2 linked regions of the Tamandua tetradactyla genome follow. The protein of the gene in region 1 purifies or fractionates together with the protein of each later gene. This does not show direct contact. Links are inferred from orthologs where the notes say so. Each region holds a gene or a part of one and is shown on either strand. Other genes may lie near its edges.

The links.
Region 2: the proteins of LIG3 (region 1) and APTX purify together in Homo sapiens (affinity purification with mass spectrometry; 3 studies listed by BioGRID and IntAct, with this or other methods). This does not show direct contact. The link is inferred for Tamandua tetradactyla from reciprocal best matches to the Homo sapiens genes LIG3 and APTX.

What each region holds. Positions count from the first base shown.
Region 1 is NC_135332.1:46,371,138-46,381,763, reverse strand, and holds the start of LIG3 (DNA ligase 3), read left to right. Parts: upstream 1-6,335; 5' UTR 6,336-6,474; exon of another isoform or gene 6,475-6,478; intron 6,479-8,858; 5' UTR 8,859-8,862; coding exon 8,863-9,409; intron 9,410-10,626. UniProt on the Homo sapiens protein: Isoform 3 functions as a heterodimer with DNA-repair protein XRCC1 in the nucleus and can correct defective DNA strand-break repair and sister chromatid exchange following treatment with ionizing radiation and alkylating agents.
Region 2 is NC_135328.1:62,889,352-62,900,533, reverse strand, and holds the start of APTX (aprataxin), read right to left. Parts: upstream 4,785-11,182; 5' UTR 4,718-4,784; intron 1-4,717. UniProt on the Homo sapiens protein: DNA-binding protein involved in single-strand DNA break repair, double-strand DNA break repair and base excision repair.

The sequences.
Region 1 (10,626 bases):
AGTCAGCCTGAATGGGCCCATCTCTAAGACAATGATTCCTTGACCTGATTACATCCAATGCCCCTATCCTGGCCTCCTCAAGGAGAGTCCAGGTCAGTAGATCTAGGTTGGGGTATTGGAAAGAGTATTTTAAACAAGTTCTTTAAACATGTTCTTCATGTACCAATGCATGAAGCAATAAAGTAGCCTGTTATCTGTTGAGATAAAATGAAACCTGCCTCATAGGGTTACTATGATATTAAATTAAAACATATATGAATATTAAATACATATTTATATATTATGAAGATTAGATGAATATATATATATATACATTATTGAATGATTCTAATATGCCAGACACTATGCTTATATATTGCTTAGCACAGTGCATGGCATATAAGAAGCACTCAATAGCATACATTAACAATAATAAACATTCATTAAATAATTCCTTTATGTAAGTTATAGTACAAGGTTCTGCAAGAAATTCAGTGACATATACTCCCAAGAGAGCCTCTTTTGTTGCTCAGATGTGGCCTCTCTCTCCAGCCAATATGACGAGCAGTCTCATCACCCTCCCCCTCTCTGTGTGGGACATGACTCCCAGGGGTGTGGACCTTCCTGGCAACGTGGGACAAAGATCCTGGAATGAGCTGAGACTCAGCATCAAAGGACTGAGAAAAACCCTAGAATGAGCTGAGAATTAACATCAAGGGATTGAGAGAACCTTCTCGACCAAGGGGGAAGAGTAAAATGAGGCAAAGTGTCAATGGCTGAGAGATTCCAAACAGAGTCAAGAGGTTATCCTGGAGGTTATTCTTACGCATTAAGTAGATATCATCTTGGTGTTCAAGATGTAGTGGAGAGGCTGGAGGGAATTGCCTGAAAATGTAGTGCTGTGTTCCAGTAACCATGTTTCTTGATGATGATTGAACAATGATATAGCTTTCACAATGAGACTCTGTGAATGTGAAAACCTTATGTCTGATGCTCCTTTTAGCTACTATATCAACAGAAGAGTAGAACATATGGAATAAAAATAAATAATAGGGGGAACAAATGTTAAAATAAATTCAGTTTGAAATGCTAGTGGCAAATGAAAGCGAGGGGTAAGGGGTATGGTATGTATAGTCTTTTTTTCTCTATTATTATTTTATTTCTTTTTCTGTTGTCTTTTTATTTCTTTTTCTAAATCGATGCAAATGTACTAAGAAATGATGAATATGCAACTATGTGATGATATTAAGAATTACTGATTGTATATGTAGAATGGAATGATATCTAAATGTTTTTTTAATTAATAAAAAAAGTTAAAAAAAAAAAAAAAGAAATTGACATATATCAGTTGCTCATGAATGCAGGGACCGTGCTTATCTTATTACCCAATATCCAGCCAATGGCCTGCACAGAGTAGCCATTCAAATGAAATCTGTTGAACGAACGAAGACACAGTCCTTACCTTCAGGAAAACTCAATCTGATTGCATTGTAAACAGTAGAAGAAATTGGAGAACACAATTATTTATTAAACTACTGGTACAGGTATTGGAAAGAGAATTAATCAAAAGTATGAGGTCCAAGTTCCATCTTTGCCACTTACTATGTGATGTTCACCTAGTCAGCCTTAGTTTTATCCTCTCTGGGAACTCCTTAAGGACCCTCCCACTCTGTCTATCACCAAGATGAGACAGGAACTGATGGCAGAAGAGGAGAGCACAGTGGGCTGCACGAACAGGAAGGCCTCAGGAAGAAGGGTTGAGTGGAACCTCCCAGAGGAGGAGAGAAGAAAGAAGGGGGCTGTCCTGCTAAATAAATGAAGTGGCATGAGGTAGACAGTGTGCAACCAGTCTTCCATCTCTGCTGCGGTACCAAAGCTAGAAACTATCATTGGCACTATCTATCATGCAAGCCCAGAGTCCAGTGGAAACAGTACTCAACTTTTCTTCCCAAACAGGCCCTTTGTGAAACCTATTTTCTCTTTGAAAATAACATGACCACTTCAGACTAGAAGACCCAACTCAGAAGTGCAGGAAAATGGCAGCAACTCTGAGTCGTCTCGCCCCTTACCTGTGACCTCAACCCTCTCTTCTTACCCAAGCCCCAGAAGCCTTTGTCTTTGCCCTGGATCAGCTACTCCCAAAGGCACCCTTGACTCCTCTCGACTCTTCCTTATTCTTTCCTACCTCAAATGACAGCTGCAGCACAAAGACATTCAAAGGAGAAGCCAGGAAATCCCTCCAGTTAAGAACCATCTTCCACAGCCTTTATTATCCCTCCAGTTAAGAACCATCTTCCACAGCCTTTATTTAGAAGAAGACTCACTAGCTGATTTGAATTATTATATCTTCCTGCAACTGTTCCTTTTTAAACATTTATCCTGGCAAACACTATCACTGTTTTTTACAGCTTATTTTAATTGTGCGACTATTAAGCAAACCAAACCGTAAAATCAACTCTCACTGCTGAGATTTATGTGGTTCATAGACCAGAGCTTATCAAAAAAGGAATCCACGGAGAAGGTGTGAGGCCGCTTTCCTATCTCTGCCTGTGGCTTCCAAGCTTTTCATAGAGGGTCGCACAGAATCTACCCAATTCCCTCAGACTTTTTTTTCCTTCTTAACAATCCTGATGAATCTAAATGAATAGTCTTTGTTTTTTTAAAATATTGATATTTTTATTGATAAATCTTAACATATAAACAGTCCATACGTGGTGTACAATAAATGGCTCACAATATCATCACTTAGTTGTGCATTCATCACCATGATCATTTTTCAGAACATTTGCATCACTCCAGAAAAATAAATAAAAAGAAAAAAAAAACTCATACATACCATACCCCTTACCCCTCCCTTTATTGACCACCAGCATTTCCATCTACCCAATTTATCTTAACCTTTATTATTTGTTCATTTTCCACCCATATTTTTTACTCATCTATCCACACCCTAGATAAAAGAGCATCCGACACAGGTTTTCACAATCATACAGAGATTGTAAAAGCCATATCATCATACAATCATCTTCAAGAACCAAGGCTACTGAACACAGCTCAACAGTTTCAGGTACTTCGCTCTAGCCACTCTAATACACCATAATCCAAACTGATTCAGTCTAAAAGGGGATGGTGGAACTCTAAGAGAAGCTCACAAACAGGATAAATGTCCTGAAAAATTTACGATAAAGGTCTAAGGCAAGGACTTAATTATGAGATTGGGTGAAATAGATATCTTGATTATTTGACAATATAGTTCTTAGTTAGGACTATGGAACAGCTATCAGACTCCAATAAAAGCTCTCCCTCCAAAAATGCATGTTCACACAAACATTCACATAAAATTTTAAGGGGTTCAAAGGTACCCAATTCCATCCAGGCATCACTTGGGGTCCATAAGCCTCAGATTATTTCTTACTACTTCCACTGTTTACCCTCCCCACTCCCCCAAGCTACTCTTGTTTCTGTCCTAGTTTATTTCAGTAGCCACCCAGCTCATCTCCCAACTTCTCTACATAGTAGCAAGAGTGATCCTGTTAAAATACATCAGAATCATGTCATTTCTCTACTCAGTAAAGTCCATGGGGTTGCATTTCACCTGGAGTAAGAGCCAAAGTTTCTACAATGGCTTACAAGGATCTGTCTCCTTGCTTCCTTGCTAGCCTCACCTTCTACTCTTCTCACCCTTAACTCATTCTGCTGTAGCCACACAGATCTCCTTCCCGTTGCGTACATGCCAGGCACATTCTGGCTGCTGAGCTTTTACTGATACTCCCCTTCCCTGAGTTCTCCATGAGGCTCTCTCCTTCATTCCTTCACTTTGTCATGAGGTCTTCCTGACCTGTATTAAAGACTGCAACCCACCACCTTGCCCAGCACATCTGATCCTCCTCATCTGCTCTTTCTCCACTGCACTCATCCTTTTACATACTATGCATTTTACTTATTACTGTATTATTAATATTTATTTCCCACATCAGCCTGATAACTCCATAAGAGGAGGGCTTTTTGTCTGTTCTGTTTTACAGCTGTATTCCAGCTCCTGAAATAGTGCGTGACAGAGTAGGAACTCAAATACTTTACTGACTGATTGATGACTAACTAAGTGGTAAAACTTTGCAGTGGTATGAAGGTGTCTAGGCTGGGGAATGGAGGAGCATGCACATTTACCACAAAACTTCTAAGTGTGAAGCAGTTTGCAAGTTATACCAGCCATTTCACTTAATCATCACCCACAATCCTACTTCACCAGGAAAACTCAGTCCCCAAGAAGTTAAGAATAGAACCTGAGGTTATACATCTAGTGGCAGAACACAATTCAAACTTGGGTTTACGTGATTCCAAAGCACTGCTTTTCCCACCATCACAAATTACCTCATTCTCCTTAGGAGCAGTTCCTACTTCCCTAAGGAAGTGCAACTGTCGGCTCTCACACATGGTTCCATTTCACAGAGAGGGATCTGAGTCACAGAGACATTAGGGGTCCCTTGGGGTTCTAATTAAGCACAATAAATATTGAGAGCCTGAGACCTTTTGCAAATGTACATAAAACACATTTACTTTGTCAGAAAACTATATTATGAACATCCTTCCAAGGGACATCACTTTCTAAGTTTCATTCATTCATTCCATTCACTCATGGTTTTCCTTGATTTATTTATAAATATGTGCTGAGTGCCTATTATGTGCCAGGCACTGTTCTAGGCACTGGGGATAAAAAGATGTATAAGATACAGAGGTCACGTTCCACAAATAGGCTTGAAGTTTAGGACAGTGCTTTATCCAAAAGAAATATAATGCGAGCCACATATGTAATTTAATATTTACTAGTAGCCACATTTTTAGAAGTAAAAATAGGCAAAATGTATTTTAATAATATATTTTATTTAATCCAGTATATCCAAAATATTATAATTTCAACACGTAATTGAAATACATATATTATTGAGTTTTTAACATTCTTTTTTTTGTACCAAGTCTTCAAAATCAGTGTGTATTTTATACTCACAGCACATCTCAACTTGGATTAGCCACATTTTAAGTGCTACAGCATTGGACAGCACAGGGCCAGAAGAAAGGACAGATACATTTGAGGAGATTTTTAAAACAATGTTCTAATTGCAGTGATAATGTACCTTCAGGATCATTCAACTACCAGTACTAGTACTTTAGCCTTCATTGACCCATCAACCCCAAAGACCTAGATCATTTTGCTATACCAAAGTAGAGAAAAGAGAAAGGGGCTTTACTCTATTGCAAACAGTGGAATCGTGGTTGACCTCAATCAACGAAACTTAATATATCTAAAACAAAACATCCTTACCCCAAATACCTTTACCTCCCCTATTTTCTATTTCAGTTGATGGCACCATTATCTACTTGCTCACTTAAGTCATGCTCATTTCCTCTTTAGACAAATGAACATTTTATCCAGGAGGTAATTTTTTAACCTCTTATTTTGAAATAATTTCAAACTTACAGTACAGATTATAGAAGACTGTTTAGAATATAAATGTTTCTCAAAAACACACCTTCCTCTCCATCACAGCTACCTGAGCTAATTCAGGCCACTTAGCACCCTTGCCTTACCCTCTCTCCTACCCAACTTTGACAGTAATTCCTATTCTGTAAAACTCTTCAGGGCTCTCCATCACTTACAGAATAAAGGCCAAGCTCTTTATGACACAGCAAATAATTTCTTCCAGGATCTGACCTTTGCTTACTGAACAATTGGCCCAACTGTCCCCTGACCTTGAACGAGTTCACGTACCTTCTCTAAACCTGCTACCCCTTTGTAAAAATAGCCATCCTAATCTTTCATAAAGATCACTGGAAGTTCAAAGAGATAATATTTAAAACAATCTACAATGTAGGAGATTATTTCCCCACCATGCCTTTACACAGTTTCCTATCTATCATTATCGTCTATCCATCTATCGTATCCACATTGCGCCTTTTGCAGTTCAATAACATTTACTGAATACTTACTATATGCTAGGCATTGTGCAAGATAACGAGAAGGCGGAACACCGAGAGATCGGCTGAATAACGCGACCTTTGCCTTCCCCAAGCTCATTACAATGTAATTTCTCAACTAATACGCTTTAACTCAATTGGACTATATGATCTCTAACAGCACGAAAAAATCAGGGGGATCCTCAGAAGTTCCAGCCAGGCCGCACTTTGGGACACCACCACGTCCCCTTATCTCTGCTTCCCCAGGCGGCGATCGCAGTTCCGAACGCCCCAAAACCCAGACAACCAAAGACCAGGGCCACGTGGCACAAACTGCCCACGACCCACGTGGTAGGCCGGGGGCGGGGACCCGCGCCAGCGCCGAGACCTGCGGCGCAGCTTGGGCCTTCGCTTATGCGCTTGCGCACTGTCACCAGCTCAAGGACCCGGATTTAAAGAGACAGGAGCTACAACCGTCGTGGGCTGCCCACGGCCTCTGGGCGCCTGGACCCAAGGCCTACAGTGTGCGCTGGAGCCGGAAAGGCAGGTGAGGGCGGCGCGGCGGGGCTGGCAGTGTGGGGAGGAAGCCGGTGGGGACCCGAACCTCGGCGCGGTCCGGGAGCCAGCCCCCTCGGCTCCTCCCCCTCCCGCCTGCGGAGCCCGGGGGCACACCCTCCATGACGTGGCGGCCCCCGGGAGTCCACCCGGGAGGTGCCTGGTACCTTGAGGCACCCCCAAGATACCCGCGCGAGGAATAGTGCCTGCTCACATCCCCGGGCGTGCGGCCCTTCGGGGCCCCTCCAGGGACTTCTTCTGTGTCCCTGCCCCTGCATATTCCCCGCAACGAAGTTGCTGCGCTTCCCTAGGAATTTGGGAGCCTTTCTCGTTCCCAGCGTTCGCTGGCCGGGTGGAAGCGTGCTCCCTTCCCCAGCCCCGCTGGCTGTGCCCGCGGGTCCCCTCGGCCTCCAGCGTGCTGATCCCGAGGGACTCGGAGGGTCTAGCCTTAACGCCGCCCGACCCCGCTTCCCCGCCTCCTCCCTTCCTTGAGGCCGGCTCGCGGCGCCCGGGTCGGTAGTCCCTACCCACTCCGCGAAAGCGTGGCGGGAGGCCCCTTCAGCAAGGCAGCTGCAGGGGTTTCGCTTTCCACCCCGCTGCAGCTCACTGGCCCGTGGCCGTCTGCGCTTCTTTGAGACCTCAGCGATTTCCTGCTCGGGCTCCTTCCAAGGAGTTTATGCGTCGCGGTGGGCCAGAGCCTCAGGAGCCTCCTCTGAGGCTGAGACTAGGGCGCTGCGAGATGCTCTGGAGTCTGTTTCTTTAATTATTTACAGGGGCGTAGGGGTAGGCGTGACATAATTAGGTCTGTCTTCTAAGAAAGATTTCAGGTTCTGAGCTTCTCTTATGGGCCTGCCGTACTTTCCTATACATCATCTCTGTAGTTCTTAAACTTTTGAAGATTGTAGAACCCTTTGTGAATCTCATGAGAAAGTTATGAACCTTCTCTCCAAAAATACATTTACAAGTATGTACATTTTCAAGGAGATTAAACCATGTTACCGCCCCCCTCCCAGGCCATCCATGGGCTTATTTTAATTTTCACAACCACCCTGTGAGGCAGGTATTATTTTCCCTGTTTTAGAAATAAGAACGCAGACTCAGAGAAGTTAAAAAGTTTCTCAAAGTTAAAATAACATATATGCTGTATGATCAGACTTTAAGCTGCCAAGACTCCCTAATTTTTGAAAGACCCTATGCATTCCTCTGTACCATGTTGCAGTACCGTAGGTAAAGGCCTGTTTTTGTATAATACAATGGCAATTTCACTACAAAGCGGTGTGCAAACTTGAAAATGACTTCTAGTATTTTAAATATTAGAACTTTAATTCTTGCCTCCTGTGCGGGAGACCTGGGTTCAGTTCCTGGCCGGTGCACTTCCCAAACCAGGAAACCAACAAACACAAACAAATAAAAAATTCAACAAAATAGTGCTGCAATAGCGGGATACTCACATGGAAAAATAATGAAATGTGGTAACCCCACCATACAACATCCAAAAAAAAAGATACTTTGGAAGATATAAACAATATAAGAAGATAAGGAGATACCATTTGGATATAATCCTTGTTTCCATTTGGATTGATTTATCAGTTTCTTTGACTCTTGTCATCCAGTTACTTCAGAATTCTCTGACTCAAATTGCTGAATTATAGACAGGCATATAATTGTACATAGGGTACCACTGTTTAAAGTAACTTCTTCATTGAAGATAAGAGCTAACATTATTGAGCCCCTGATAATGTGTCCAACTCTTTTCTAAGGGCTTACCCCTTAGAACAGCAATGCTTTGAATAAGTACTATTGTCGACATTTTACAAATGAGGAAACTGAGGAATGGAGAGATTAAGAAACTACCAAGTTCACACAGCCGGTAAGTGGCTGAGCTAAGGTTTGAACCCAGGCAGTCTGATTCCAGGCTCCACTTAGTTGCCTCTCAAAATAGGGTTTTGGATTAAATCACAAATCCATGTAATGGTTTGTTTTCTAGAGGATGACGTGTTATATCTCACATTGAATACTTTATGGACATATGTAATTTTTCTTAATGATTAAAAAGAAACTTCACGACCTTATAATACTTAAATGTCATCATTCATTATGAGTCTCAGGGATTGCTGAGAAAACAGGATAAGCTTTGTATTATTTGGGTTCTCTTAGTTGTGATTACTGGATATACGTGTGTATATTAATCAAACACCTTTTGCAAACTGGATTTTCCATTTACTGGAACTCTTCTTCATCCTGTAGGAAATAAACTTTTAATACTTTTGATTAGTCAGCCTGGGCCATATAGACCTTTGGCTTTTGAGCAAATTGGAAGTTTATCTCCTCATTTATATCTCATTTACTCTGCTTCTCACCCTTTCATGCAGCTGTATGACTTTAGCTTTCAGGATCCTCTTTCCACCAACCTTCCGTGCATTCAGCCGAAAAGAACCGTGCCTGTTCCGAGAGCGACATCGTTGGCCTGACATCAGACAGTTTAACCAGTGGCTAGAAACAGATCTGCTTCATGGGCGCTGCCCTCTGACAAAAAAGCCTGTTCTGTCATTCCAGCAAGGCAATCAAAAACCACGAACCACTTGCCTTGTTTTCTTGCCAGGGTTGCATGTGGGACTCTGCAGTGGCCCCAGTGAGATGGCTGAGCAACGATTCTGTGTTGATTATGCCAAGCGTGGCACAGCTGGCTGCAAAAAATGTAAAGAAAAGATCGTGAAGGGTGTATGCCGAATTGGCAAAGTGGTGCCCAATCCCTTCTCAGAGTCCGGCGGTGATATGAAAGAGTGGTACCACATTAAATGCATGTTTGAGAAACTTGAACGGGCCCGGGCCACCACAAAAAAAATCGAGGATCTCACAGAGCTGGAAGGCTGGGAGGAGCTGGAAGATAATGAGAAGGAACAGATAACACAGCACATTGCAGGTGAGTGGAGAAAACTTTTCTCATTTCATTCTTGTCGGGAGAACAGGGATAAGGAGAGTAGAGTCCACTTTCTTTTAAACATTTTATTTGGAAATAATTTCAAACTCACAGGAAAGTTGCAAGAACAAAAATAGTACAAAGAAGATCCATATTCCTTTAACCCAGCTTCACTTACCATTGACATTTTACTGCTTTATGATTTGTGCTTACACATATTCTTACTAGCCCACTCTCTATGCACACGCATGCACAATTTTTTTTTGTCCTGAATCATTTAAGAGTAAGTTACATACATCATGAGCTTTTACCTTTAAATATTTGACAGTATGTATATCCTAAGAATAGGAATATTCTCTTATATAATCATGATATGGTTATTAACTGCAGTAAATTTATTATTGATATAGTAATAAATAATTACTATCTCTTTCTTCCAATTTTGTCAATTGATCAAATAGTATATTTAATTACATTTTTTTTCCAGTACAGGATCCCCATCTAGGATCAGATGTTGCATTTAGTTTGACATGTCTCTGGCCTCCTTTTTGTTTATGACATTGACATTTTTAAAATATAGAGTACCCACCCATGCTTTTTTTTATCTTATGAATTTATTATCTGTGTGGACTCGTGGCTTGCTACTTTCTCCCAATGGCTTAAAATTCATTACTGTACCTAATTATTTGGGTACTCAGTTGGTCCTTATGTGGGTACCCCTTCAGTCTGTTATCTGTATCTTTGTGACCTGCGCTCATCATTTTCTTAAAAAATGTTTTGAAGTTGTTCCTTACTTTTTGGTGTAACAATATATTCTTAGGCTCATCTTGTATGTATCCTAGCCCAGCCCTGGAATCAGCCATTTCTCTGAAGAGTCCTGGTTCCTGTTAGTGGGGCTTGGTATTAGAGACCAAAATTTGAGTGCTAGGTGTTCTCGTTGCCACTGGGGTAGTTTTGCTTCTAAGACCTTTTAGCATACAGTTAGAAAATGCATTCGTGTATATGTACATAAACACACACACACACATATGGACATACATGCACACGCACATCCATATGCCTATTTTAGAGACCTCCAAATCTAATTAATCCCTTAAGACTCTCATAATCCTTTCTGTAAAATAATATTCATATCTTTAGTTAAGCATGGTTGTAGTCCCTGTTACATCCCTTTTATAGTCACTGTTAGAGCCACTCTAACATTGGCTCTAAAACCATCT
Region 2 (11,182 bases), on another chromosome or scaffold:
CAATTTGATACTGTGGAGCAGTACTGTCCAATAAAACTTTCTGCAATAATGGAATATTCTATACATGTACTTTCCAATAAGGTGGCCACATGTAGCCACACCTGAAATGTAGCTAGTGTGACAAAAGAACAGATTATTTTTTTAAATTTAATTTAAACTTAACTTAAAGCAGCCACATATGGCTTAAAGTTGAGAGCCTCCATACTGTAACCCCACAGACATTACTTATTTCACCTCCTGCTATTTTTCACAGAACTAGCCCCATTCATATCCATCCCTCTCTCCTCCCTTCCCCCAGACACTCCTACATGCATTACACCTTTCAGGTATAATATAACATAACTATACTAAATCATATCTTCCAAATGAGCCATTCTTAATATGGCTTCCTGGTATTGGTTTATATCCTTTCCGCCCTCCTAGAAATCCAAATAGTACTCAACCTTCAAGCCCCACCTTCTCCTGAGGCTTTCACTGAGCTATCTTCCCTTCTACACTTTTGTTATTGGACATGGTAGGACTGCATTCCTGGTTCTCTAAATGTGTAATGTGGATATGATTCTACTCTCCAAATGAGATTATAAGCTCTTGGTAAGAAGACTATATCATTGCCCACCCATTCAGGAAACACAAGAAAAGGTCACCAGAGATCACTGCACTGGGCTAGGACTGGCCTTGTAGTCCTGCATGTCCTGGTGTTCAGCATATCTTTATTAAATGCATACTATGTGCTAAGTACTGTGCCAAGTGTCTTTACATCATCTCATTTAATCTAATAAAAAATCTCATTATAAGGAAGAGAAATTTAAGACTTAGAGAAGATAAATACTGTGGTCAAGTCACATAGTCAATGTCTAGCACAGCTTGGATTTGAATTAATTCCAAAGAATGGGTTCCTTACCACCGTACCATACTATCTTTTGGTTTCACTTATTTGATAATTTGATCAAGATTACTGCATGCCTACTATTGTTTTGTACCATTCTAAGGCTTACACAGAGAAAGCATGGGTTCTGGCCTTCAAAAGGCAGAGTTTTGTGAAGGAGAGAGAGATAGAAACAATCATAATAAATGTTATAAGTGCATTTATTGGTCTGTGCTTGGGAGCACAAAGCTGTAGTACCCAACCCAGGGAGGTATCAAGAAAGCTTTTGCATAGGTGGTGGACCTAAATTAGCTGAACATGTTGTCCAGAAAGCAAAGAAATAAGGAGTGCTTGATAAAGTTTCAAAAGCAGCAAAGGGATCCAATAATAAATATAAAATGTCCATCTGGTTTGATAATCGGTCACTACTGACCTTAAGGTACAATTTCAGGGGAATGATGGGTTTGAAAGCTAAACTGCAGAAGTGAATGAGAGATGAGGATATGGAGACAAAATAATCTTTAAAAGAGTCTAGATGAGAAGAAGAGAATTATTCCTTGATAGCTAAAAGAAGATAAATGACTGTACCAGTTTGAAACTGCTGTGTATAACAGAAATGCTATGCTCTTTAATCCTGATTTAATATTGCTAGGTGGGATTTTTTTCATTAAGTTGCTTCCCAGGAGATGCGACCCACCCAATTGTGGGTGGGACCTTTTGCTCAGCTGGATTCCATGGAGATGTATCTTCATCCATTCAAGGTGGAGTTGCTTACTGGAGTCTTTTAAAAGTGAACCATTTTGGAAAAAGCTTCAGGGTTGACACAGTGAGAGATGTTTGGAGATGCAGAAGCAAAACACTCCCAGGAAGCCATTTTGAAATGAGAAGCCACAAAAGAAAGCTAGCAGATGTGGCCATGAGCCTTTCCAACTGACAGAGAAACCCGAACATCATCAACCCTTCCTTGAGTCAAAGCGTATTTATGTGGACGCCTTAGTTTGGACATTTTTATGGCCTTAGAAAATTGTGACTTAATAAATTCCCTTTATTACGAAAGCCAACCCATTTCTGGTATATTGTGTTCTAGCAGCTTTAACAAACAAAACAATGACCAAAGACTTTTTCTTTCTTTTTTTTCTCTCTCTTTGAGGTGAGGATAGGAAGAGATCTAAAAAAGCCTGATTTCTTTGTTTATGTTTGACTGGGGTAAAGACAGTAAGGGAGAGAAAAACAAATGAAAACAAGATCTCACAGGTAAAGGTAAAAGAAAAGTCAGAAGCAAAGATAAAGGGATTTTCTTTTATCAAAAGAATCCACTCAAACGCCTGATACTGTATCAAACAGTAGGGACACCCACATCAAAAGGCCAAGCCCTTGATCTTTACGCTTACTCTTGAGAAGCTTATGTATATAGCAGAGAAGCCTAGCCTACCTATAGGTATACTTCAGAGTTACTTACAGAGGACCTCTTTTGTTGCTCAGATGAGGCCTCTCTCTCTCTAAGGCCAACTCTGCAAGTGAAATCATTGTCCTTCCCCCTCCATGGGATATGACATCCAGGGTGAAAGTCTCCTTAGCAGCATGGGATATGGCTCCCAGAGATAAGCCTGGCTCAGGCACTATGGGATCAACAATCCCATCCTGACCAAAAGGTTGAAAAGAAGCATAATAAATAAGGTGTCAGTGGCTGAGAGAGTTCAAATAGAATCGAGAGGCTACTCTTGGAGGTCACTCTTAGGCAAACTTTAGTTAAACATTGCTACCTATTATAACTTGACAAACCACAACCACAACCACTCCTGCCAATCTGAATACCTAAGGCATTATATAAGATTTTACAAAGGTTCCATCCAAGAGGGTAACTTTCCAGAAAACCACAAATTCCAGATGGGTCCCTGGACCAGGTAAGTCCTGAAATGCAGAGGGTCCAGCCTCTCAAGGACACCAATCAGGTCCATTTCTTTATCCCATATTATCAACAGCCCCTTTCAACATGAAAAAGTTAGAATAGGCATAGCCAAAATACTCCTAAAGAGTGGGAGAAAGATCAAAGGTGATGGTGGAATTATACAGAGAAGGTAGAGTTTAAGAAATGAGTATGATTTCTGAATTGTTATATTGATATTTCTTTTCGTCTCCAGTATCTTAGAGCAGCTAGAAGTAAAAACCTAAAATTGTGGAATTGGAACCCATACCAAAATCTGAAATCCGTTCTACAATTAATTGTTGTGATACACTTTGAAAGTTATTGCTTTTGTGTATGTATGTTATTTTTCATTAAAAAAATGATTGTTATGATAAAAAATAATAAAAAAGAGTTCACTCATTCTTGAAGACTAACAGTAATGTAACGATGGCTACAAAAACAGATGACTTTGTAAGAAGGGAAGGGAGAAGCGGGAATTTGAAAGTGATACCAATCAAAAGCAGTGGATTCTCTACCCAATGTGCACAACAGCCAATTTATGACACTAGGGTTTCAAAGAGAGAAAGAGTTTAATGGTAAGTGTGACACAGGAGAGTAAATGACCTATCCACCCAAAAAATCTATTTCCTGGAGTCTAAGGAGTTCAGGGTTTTTATGAATCCAAACAAGTGAGGGATGGAGTTGTTAATATTATAAAATAGTAAGTACACACAGGGCCAATATTAGGCTAGAATAACCATTATAATAGTAACTGTAAATAAAGGTGAGACTAGTTGAGTTTCAGTAATCTCAGGTATTAATGGCTACCTATTCCACAATACAGATAAACAAACATGCACGTAATGATTCGGTAATAGTAATCATTTGTTAATTCTTAATTTCTGTTACAAAAGAAAAATATGATGACCTCAATTTTCTCCCCAATCCAGTTAAAGTAACAACAGAGTGAAATGCTTGGAGCTTAATGCACAACTGAAGACAAAACAACATACACCAATGGTTAACATCAAGGCCTATGAAGTCGGATTGCCTGGATTCAAATCTTAGCTCCACCACCCACTCACTGTGTGAATTGAGGCAAGTTATTTAACTGCTCTTAAGACTTTACTTCCTCAGTTGTAAAAGGACAGTAACTGCTCTAAACCACAGGGTTATCACAAGGGCTAATTAAAATGAAAAAGTATGTAAAGCTTAGTGTCTGGCAAAAAGCATTTAAAACCATTATAATTCTTATTAATAGTTAAGGTTGGATGAAAGCAGAAGTTAAGGTCCTGTGAAAAAGACCATCAGACAGCACAGACGTTGCAAACTAAGGTGGGAGGACACAAACCCCAATGATCTGCCCTTATGACCAATCACAATTCAAATATATTCCCAAAGTATTCTATAGGACTCCAAATATAAGGCAAACTTCAAGAAGGTTCTAAACCTAGACCACATTAATCCCAAATGGAAACTATATCGCTGCTCTTTTGAAATCTCTATCACTGGAGAAAGACTTGCTTCTTCTGAGCTTCCTGTAATGCCTGTTGAGAACACTTATTTACGATGTGCACTGTCTCCTTTGAAGGCCCTCAAGGTATCAAAACAAGTTCCTTTCAGGGAGTTTCTGGCGGACAACACTTCCTAACAAGCTGAACCACCTCCTTAGGTAGGAAAGGACTCACTCTCTAACTAACCTTTTTGCGACTAAGCTATGTGCAGGTATCCGGAGCACATATGAACAAAGGGCGGAGACCAACGTGACCGCCCCGCTGAAACGGAGCACAAGAGCTCTCCGGAGAGCCAGAGGATGGGGCAACGCTTGCCGAGAAAGAAGCCGTGAGAGCGTTATTCAAGGAACATTACTCGGGGGCAGAGCGGCCCCAGCCTGAGGCCCAATCCTGCAGGTTTCAACAGAAGAGGTAGGCCGATCACCGCCTTACCTCGAGATGGCAGAGATGGACACGTTCACAGCAGTCCATCTGGCCGCACAGCTTCCGGCGCTGCAGGATGACGTCACGAGACTGCAATCGCAACCTGTGGCGTCACCAGAGCCTTTTGAGGATTGGCTGAGAAAGTCTCGCCCAAGCCCGGGCTGGGAAATGTCCTCCCCAACCCGTCCAGCAGTCGACCGGGGTTCACGTGGGTAACCTGGCAACTGTCCCTAGAAGACGGAGTTCTCGCGGCACCTCTGTGCTCGGGGGTCGCTCTCCTGTCACCACCCTCAGTCTAAACTGGAAGAGACCTCAGGCGGCCAGTGCAGGTTCCACGTTTCCAGGCGGCCGTGCAGCTTCTTTGCACTCCTGTGAGGTGACGCTATCATTGAGGCTCTCTTTTCTGCTGTTGGTACCTGCTGTGAAATTGCTTCTCTCCCTTTCTTAGCCATAGTATACTTTCTCCCTTTGTTGGGAATAAAGGAAAGGAAGAAAGAGAGTCAGGGAAACCTGCTAGAGGTTTTTTTTTTGTTCGTTTGTTTAGTGCTATCTTCAGTAATGAACTGACGGAAGAGCAATCAGGGAGTAGAGAAACAGAATACTAGGATGAGATGTTTACAGATTTTTACAGCAGTTCCAGGTCGTTCCCTCAGAGTCAGGTTTTGCAATTGTTCCAAGGCATTTTGTCAGGTAGAGAAATCCCTATTTCAGGGATGAAGGCATGCTGTTTTAATTTTTTCTCAAACATCTTAGATAAAAACTGAGCCATAAGAGGCTTCTTTGTCGAGATGGAATTTGTTTCCTTCCATATAGAAGCAAAAACTCAACAGTATAGCGAAAACAACTGAGTCATCAAGACAGAAGGTGGGAGGATCTTACAGGAAACAAAAAGAGGAACTTGCTCTTGTTAGAGGAAATGCAAGCTTAAACTAAGGTCGCCTAAGGAAGTGGGGAGGCACGGATGCATCTCAGCTACCGAGTCAGGCCTAATGGTGGGTTCACAAGTGCTTGAGATAAAAAGCAACAACTCTGGTGACCTAGCCAGTTTTGTTTTTCCCTTAGAATTAAGCTTCTCTTTGTCTCTGCTTCTACCTGCCCTGCCTTTTGTGTATCTTACATTCAAAACCGGGATGGGATCGTTCTAATTGTATTATTCACAATAAGATGTGAAAAATCAGGCAGAGTTCCCACACTGGGTCACCTCCCAGGTCCCAGACCGATGGCTTCAGTTAGATCAAGCCCACTGTCTAAAGTGCAGTGGTGGCCAAGAAAGGAGGGTCATGGTACAATATATGGGTGATGACACTTAAGAGATTCATAGATACCACTCCAGAAGCAAAATGATTTATCACAAACATATATAAAAATGAGTAGAGAGTATTCTGAGATATTATCTATGGCAGTAGCCCTCAAAATGTAGTTCCAAGACAAGTAGCATCAGCATCACCTGGAAACTTGTTAAAAATGCAAATTTGGGAGCTCTACCCCAGGCCTACTGATTGAGAAACTCGGGGTGAGGCCCAACAATCTGTTTCTAAAAAGGCCTCCAGAACCAATAGGTCGAGCCCTCAATCTTGGGGTTCAACCCCATGAAACATTCCTATAAAGATAGACTAAGCCTACTTAACGGTAGGCCTACAAATCACCACCAGAGAACCTCTTCTGTTGTTCAGATGTGGCCTATCTCTAAAAGCCAGTTTGGCAGGTGAACTCATTGCCCTCCTCTCCACATGGGACATGACTCCCAGGGGTGTCAATCTCCCTGGCAATGTGAGACAAGACTCCCAGGATGAGCTGGGATCCAGCATCATGGGATTGAGAAACCTTTCTTGATCAAAAAGGGGAAGAGAAAAATGAGACAAAATAATGTTTCAGTGACTGAAAGATTTCAGAGTCTGGAGGTTATCCTGGAGGTTATTCTTATGCATTATATAGATATCCCTTTTTAGTTTACAGTGTATTTGGAGTGGCTAGAGGGAAGTACCTGAAATTGTTGAGTGTGTTCCAGTAGCTTTGATCCTTGAAGGTGATTGTATAAAGATATAACTGTTACAGTGAGACTGTGTGATTGTGGAAACTTTGTATCTGATGCTCTTTTATCCAGGGTATGGACAGAGGAGTAAACATGGATAAAATAAAGAAATAAATAATAGAGGGGATAAGGGGTAAGCTAAATTGAGTAGATAGAAATACTAGTGGTCAGTGAGAGGGAGGGGTAAGGGGTATGGGATGTATGAGTTTTTTCTTTTTTGTTTCTTTTTATGGAGTGATGTAAATGTTCTAAAATGATCATGGTAATGAATACACAACTATGCGATGATATTGTGAGCCACTGATTTACACCATGTATGAATTGTATGTGTGTGAAGATTTGTCAAAAATATTTTTTGAAAGCCTTCCAGATTATCCCGATGCCCCCTCAAATTTGAGGTTCACTGATGGAAGGAAAAGGCTTGAAACTGTGCCCTTCAAAATGTGTTCTGTTGGCCTGCTCAGGGAGTTTTATTTTTTATTCCAACAATTAAAAATTAGATCTCACAAGAAAATCAGGATTCCTGGTCTCTTGAAAAAAATCAGTAAATCTAGCAACTTCTGGCAACAAACAGCTGGGACTGAGAGTGGCTACCATGTGCTCTTCAACTTGCCACTGTTCCCATCCATTTATTTATATAATCTGACTCCCTGAATGCCTTTGATTTTGAGAGTCCTGGTATAAAGGAAGTGCAGTTGGAGCCTGAGAAGGCTGCAGTGGTCTAGTCCAAAGACTTGCTCATGGAGACTTCCTAATATTAGGCTTAGGGTGGTCAGGCCCTTTGAGACTGATTTACCTATCTAACTCACATGAGACTCAGGTACACATCAAAGTATAATTTATTAACATGTCAAGGTAAATTACTGATATGGGCAAGACAAATGCTAGAATCTGTATTTCAATGTTCCTCTATTTGACAAATATTTATTGAGATTCTATTATGTTCTGGATGCACAGGTAAGCAAAACAGACACACTCCCTGCCCTTGTGGCACAGTCTAGTGGGGAAGACAGTCATTACTTTCACATGCACAGATTTACAATTGGTAATAAGTCCTAAGAAGGAAAAGTACACAGTTGTAGGGGAGAGAATAGCTGGAACACCTCTTTTGAGAAAAAAAAAGTTTTGGGGGGAGAGGTTGGTAGCAGGGTCAGGAAAGGCCCATCTAAGGGCTGCTAGTGCAGCACTGAATTCCTTTTACTGTTGGTACCACTGTGACCTGTGTCTGGGCCTCGCTGATGCTTAGCTCAGAGACCAATAACAAAGGCCCACTGTATTAGGGTTCTCTAGAGAAACAGAACCAGCAGGATATATCTGTAAATATGAGATTTATAAAGGTGTCTCATGCAACCATGGCAATCTAAAATCTGTAGGACAGGCTATGAAGCTGGCAGCTCTGATGAAGGGTCTGGACAACCTCCACAGGAGAGGCTCTCTGGCTGAAAAAGCAGTGAAAGGGTCTCTCTTCTTCCTTAAAAGCCTTCAACTGATTGGATTGTCATGTTGTGGGAGACAATCCTTACTTGTGCCATAATTGATCACAAATGTAATCAGCCACAGATGCAGTCAACTGACTGATGATTTAATACACTAGCCTTCCAGTTTAACAACCAGCCATGAAATATCCTTGCAGCAAAGGCCAGGGAAGTGCTTGCCTGACCGGACAACTGGGCATCATCACTTGGCCAAGTTGACCCCATTACCCAACTTGACACCATTACCAGTTCTGCCTCTGCTCTGAGGAACAGCTTGCAAGTGAGAGTTAAGATCTAAGCCAGCAGTGCTCTCAAGATCACTTGCCAACCAACCTCTCCTACCACACTTTCTTGACTAACTACCACCACTACCACACCCAACACCACCACTACCACACCCAGAAAAATGTGAACACATACACACACATATCCCTCACCTCCTGACTTCCCACCCATATTTGGATAAAACATAATAAATTGAACATAAAAATGTTGAAATGGCAGTTTAACCCAACACTTTAATTCCTTCATATTGCCTGATAGCTACAAAAGGAGTGCAAAGTTGGGGTGCAGGATATCAGATCTTGGTAATCAGGGTTTGACATTCACTCAACAAACACTTCTGAGCACCTGCTATACGACAATTACTGTGCTAAGTACTGGCTGGATATAAAATGTTATTAAGGAGGTGGTACAAGTATAGTTCAGTGGTAGAATTCTTGTCTGCCATGTGAGAGACCCAGGTTCAATTCCTGGCCCATGCACTACTCCCCCTTCAAAAAAAAAAAAAGAATAAATGTTACTGCAATAAGGGGATACTCACCTGGAAAAAGAATGAAATGTGACCCTCATTACATAAAAAAATAAATGCTATTAAGTCATGATCACCAAAACAGTCCTCCACCTCTGAAGCTTGGCTTTAACTCATTGGATTGCCTTTTGGTGTGCAGCCATCGGGCTGTTAAGAGGCATCCCTGTGAACTGGTCACCCCATTAGGAATGCTGTCAAGGACACTGCTCTTCATATCACACAATGTTCTCTTTATTAACACCCCTGGGAGACATTCCAATCAGATCCCAATTCCAGGAATAGTTTCACTTCTCCAGAGTAACAGGTTTGTTTTTTCTTACAGACACCATGAATTGTGAATACAATGAGGCTTTAGCTTAGAGACAAATTCATGGCCCAGTTGCCCATATATGAAGGTCATTTCTTTTGTTTGTTTGGGTGTTTTTTATTATTGTTTTTTTCTTTGCTTTTTTTAATTGAAGGTCATTTCTATGCACATTTTTAGCTCATTCCAAGCTCCATTTTGTCTCTCCCTGTGTTTTTATTTCTTCATCCTCCAAACTTTTAATTTATACCTTTTTTATGTATCTTTACATAAATTCTATGATAAAAGTGTGTCCATAGGGTGAAAAATACAAGAAGAGTTATAAATCATTCAGAAGATTAGAGAAGACCTCTCATAGCGGTCATTACATCAGTGGAATTTTTCTTTTGTTTTGTTGAGGATGTTGCAGTTTATAAGTTGCTGCCCAGTGCAAGAAAAGAGGATATATATATATCTTGCAGAGTAGATTTTGATGTCATATCATGGGTTCATGAGACATCATAGAAATTGTTTACAAAAAATTGCAACTACTTCTATAAGCGGTTCCTTTCATCAATTTCTTTTCTGAAAAAATAATAATATGGTGGCAAAACAATCATATCTACATCACAATTTATGTGCAGAGAAGGAAATTCAGATGTAGTGTCAAACTTAAATTAGAACATATTCTATAGCAAAGTGAAGAATTAAAATAATCATAATGTAAACTGTGGAATATATGGTCTCTTGCAGCAATCTACCAACCTGGAGCTTTAAAGGGAATATTTTATCATTCCAATGGGGAAAACGTTAACTTTTAACTTTGAGAGACTAAATGAAATGTGCTACTCTTCCCCCCCACCTCCATTTCTATTAGAATAAATTTTAAAAAACAACAACTTCAAAGCCACAGTGGTCAAAACAGCATGGTACTGGCATAAAGATAGATATATTAACCAATGGAATCGAATAGAGTGCTCAGATACAGACCCTCTCATCCATGGACATTTGATCTTTGATAAGGCAGTCAAGCCAACTCACCTGGGACAGAACAGTCTCTTCAATAAATGGTGCCTAGAGAACTGGATATCCATATGCAAAAGAATGAAAGAAGACCCATGTCTCACACCCTATACAAAAGTTAACTCAAAATGGATCAAAGATCTAAACATTAGGTCTAAGAACATAAAACAGTTAGAGGAAAATGTTGGGAGATATCTTATGAATCTTACAACTGGAGGCGGTTTTATGGACCTTAAACCTAAAGCAAGAATACTGAAGAAGGAAATAAATACATGGGAGCTCCTCAAAATTAAACACTTTTGTGCATCAAAGAACTTCATCAAGAAAGTAGAAAGACAGCCTACACAATGGGAGACAATATTTGGAAACGACATATCAGATAAAGGTCTAGTATCCAGAATTTATAAAGAGATTGTTCAACTCAACAACAAAAAGACAGCCAACCCAATTACAAAATGGGAAAAAGATTTGAACAGACACTTCTCAGAAGAGAAAATACAAATGGCCAAAAGGCACATGAAGAGATGCTCAGTGTCCCTGGCCATTAGAGAAATGCAAATCAAAACCACAATGAGAGATCATCTCACACCCACCAGAATAGCCATTATCAACAAAATAGAAAATGACAAGTGCTGGAGAGGATGTGGAGAAAGAGGCACACTTATTCACTGTTGGTGGGAATGTCAAATGGTGCAACCGCTGTGGAAGGCAGTTTGGTGATTCCTCAACAAGCTGAATATAGAATTGCCATATGACCCAGCAATACCATTGCTAGGTATCTACTCAGAGGACATAAGGGCAAAGACACAAATGGACATTTGCACACCAATGTTTATAGCAGTATTATTTA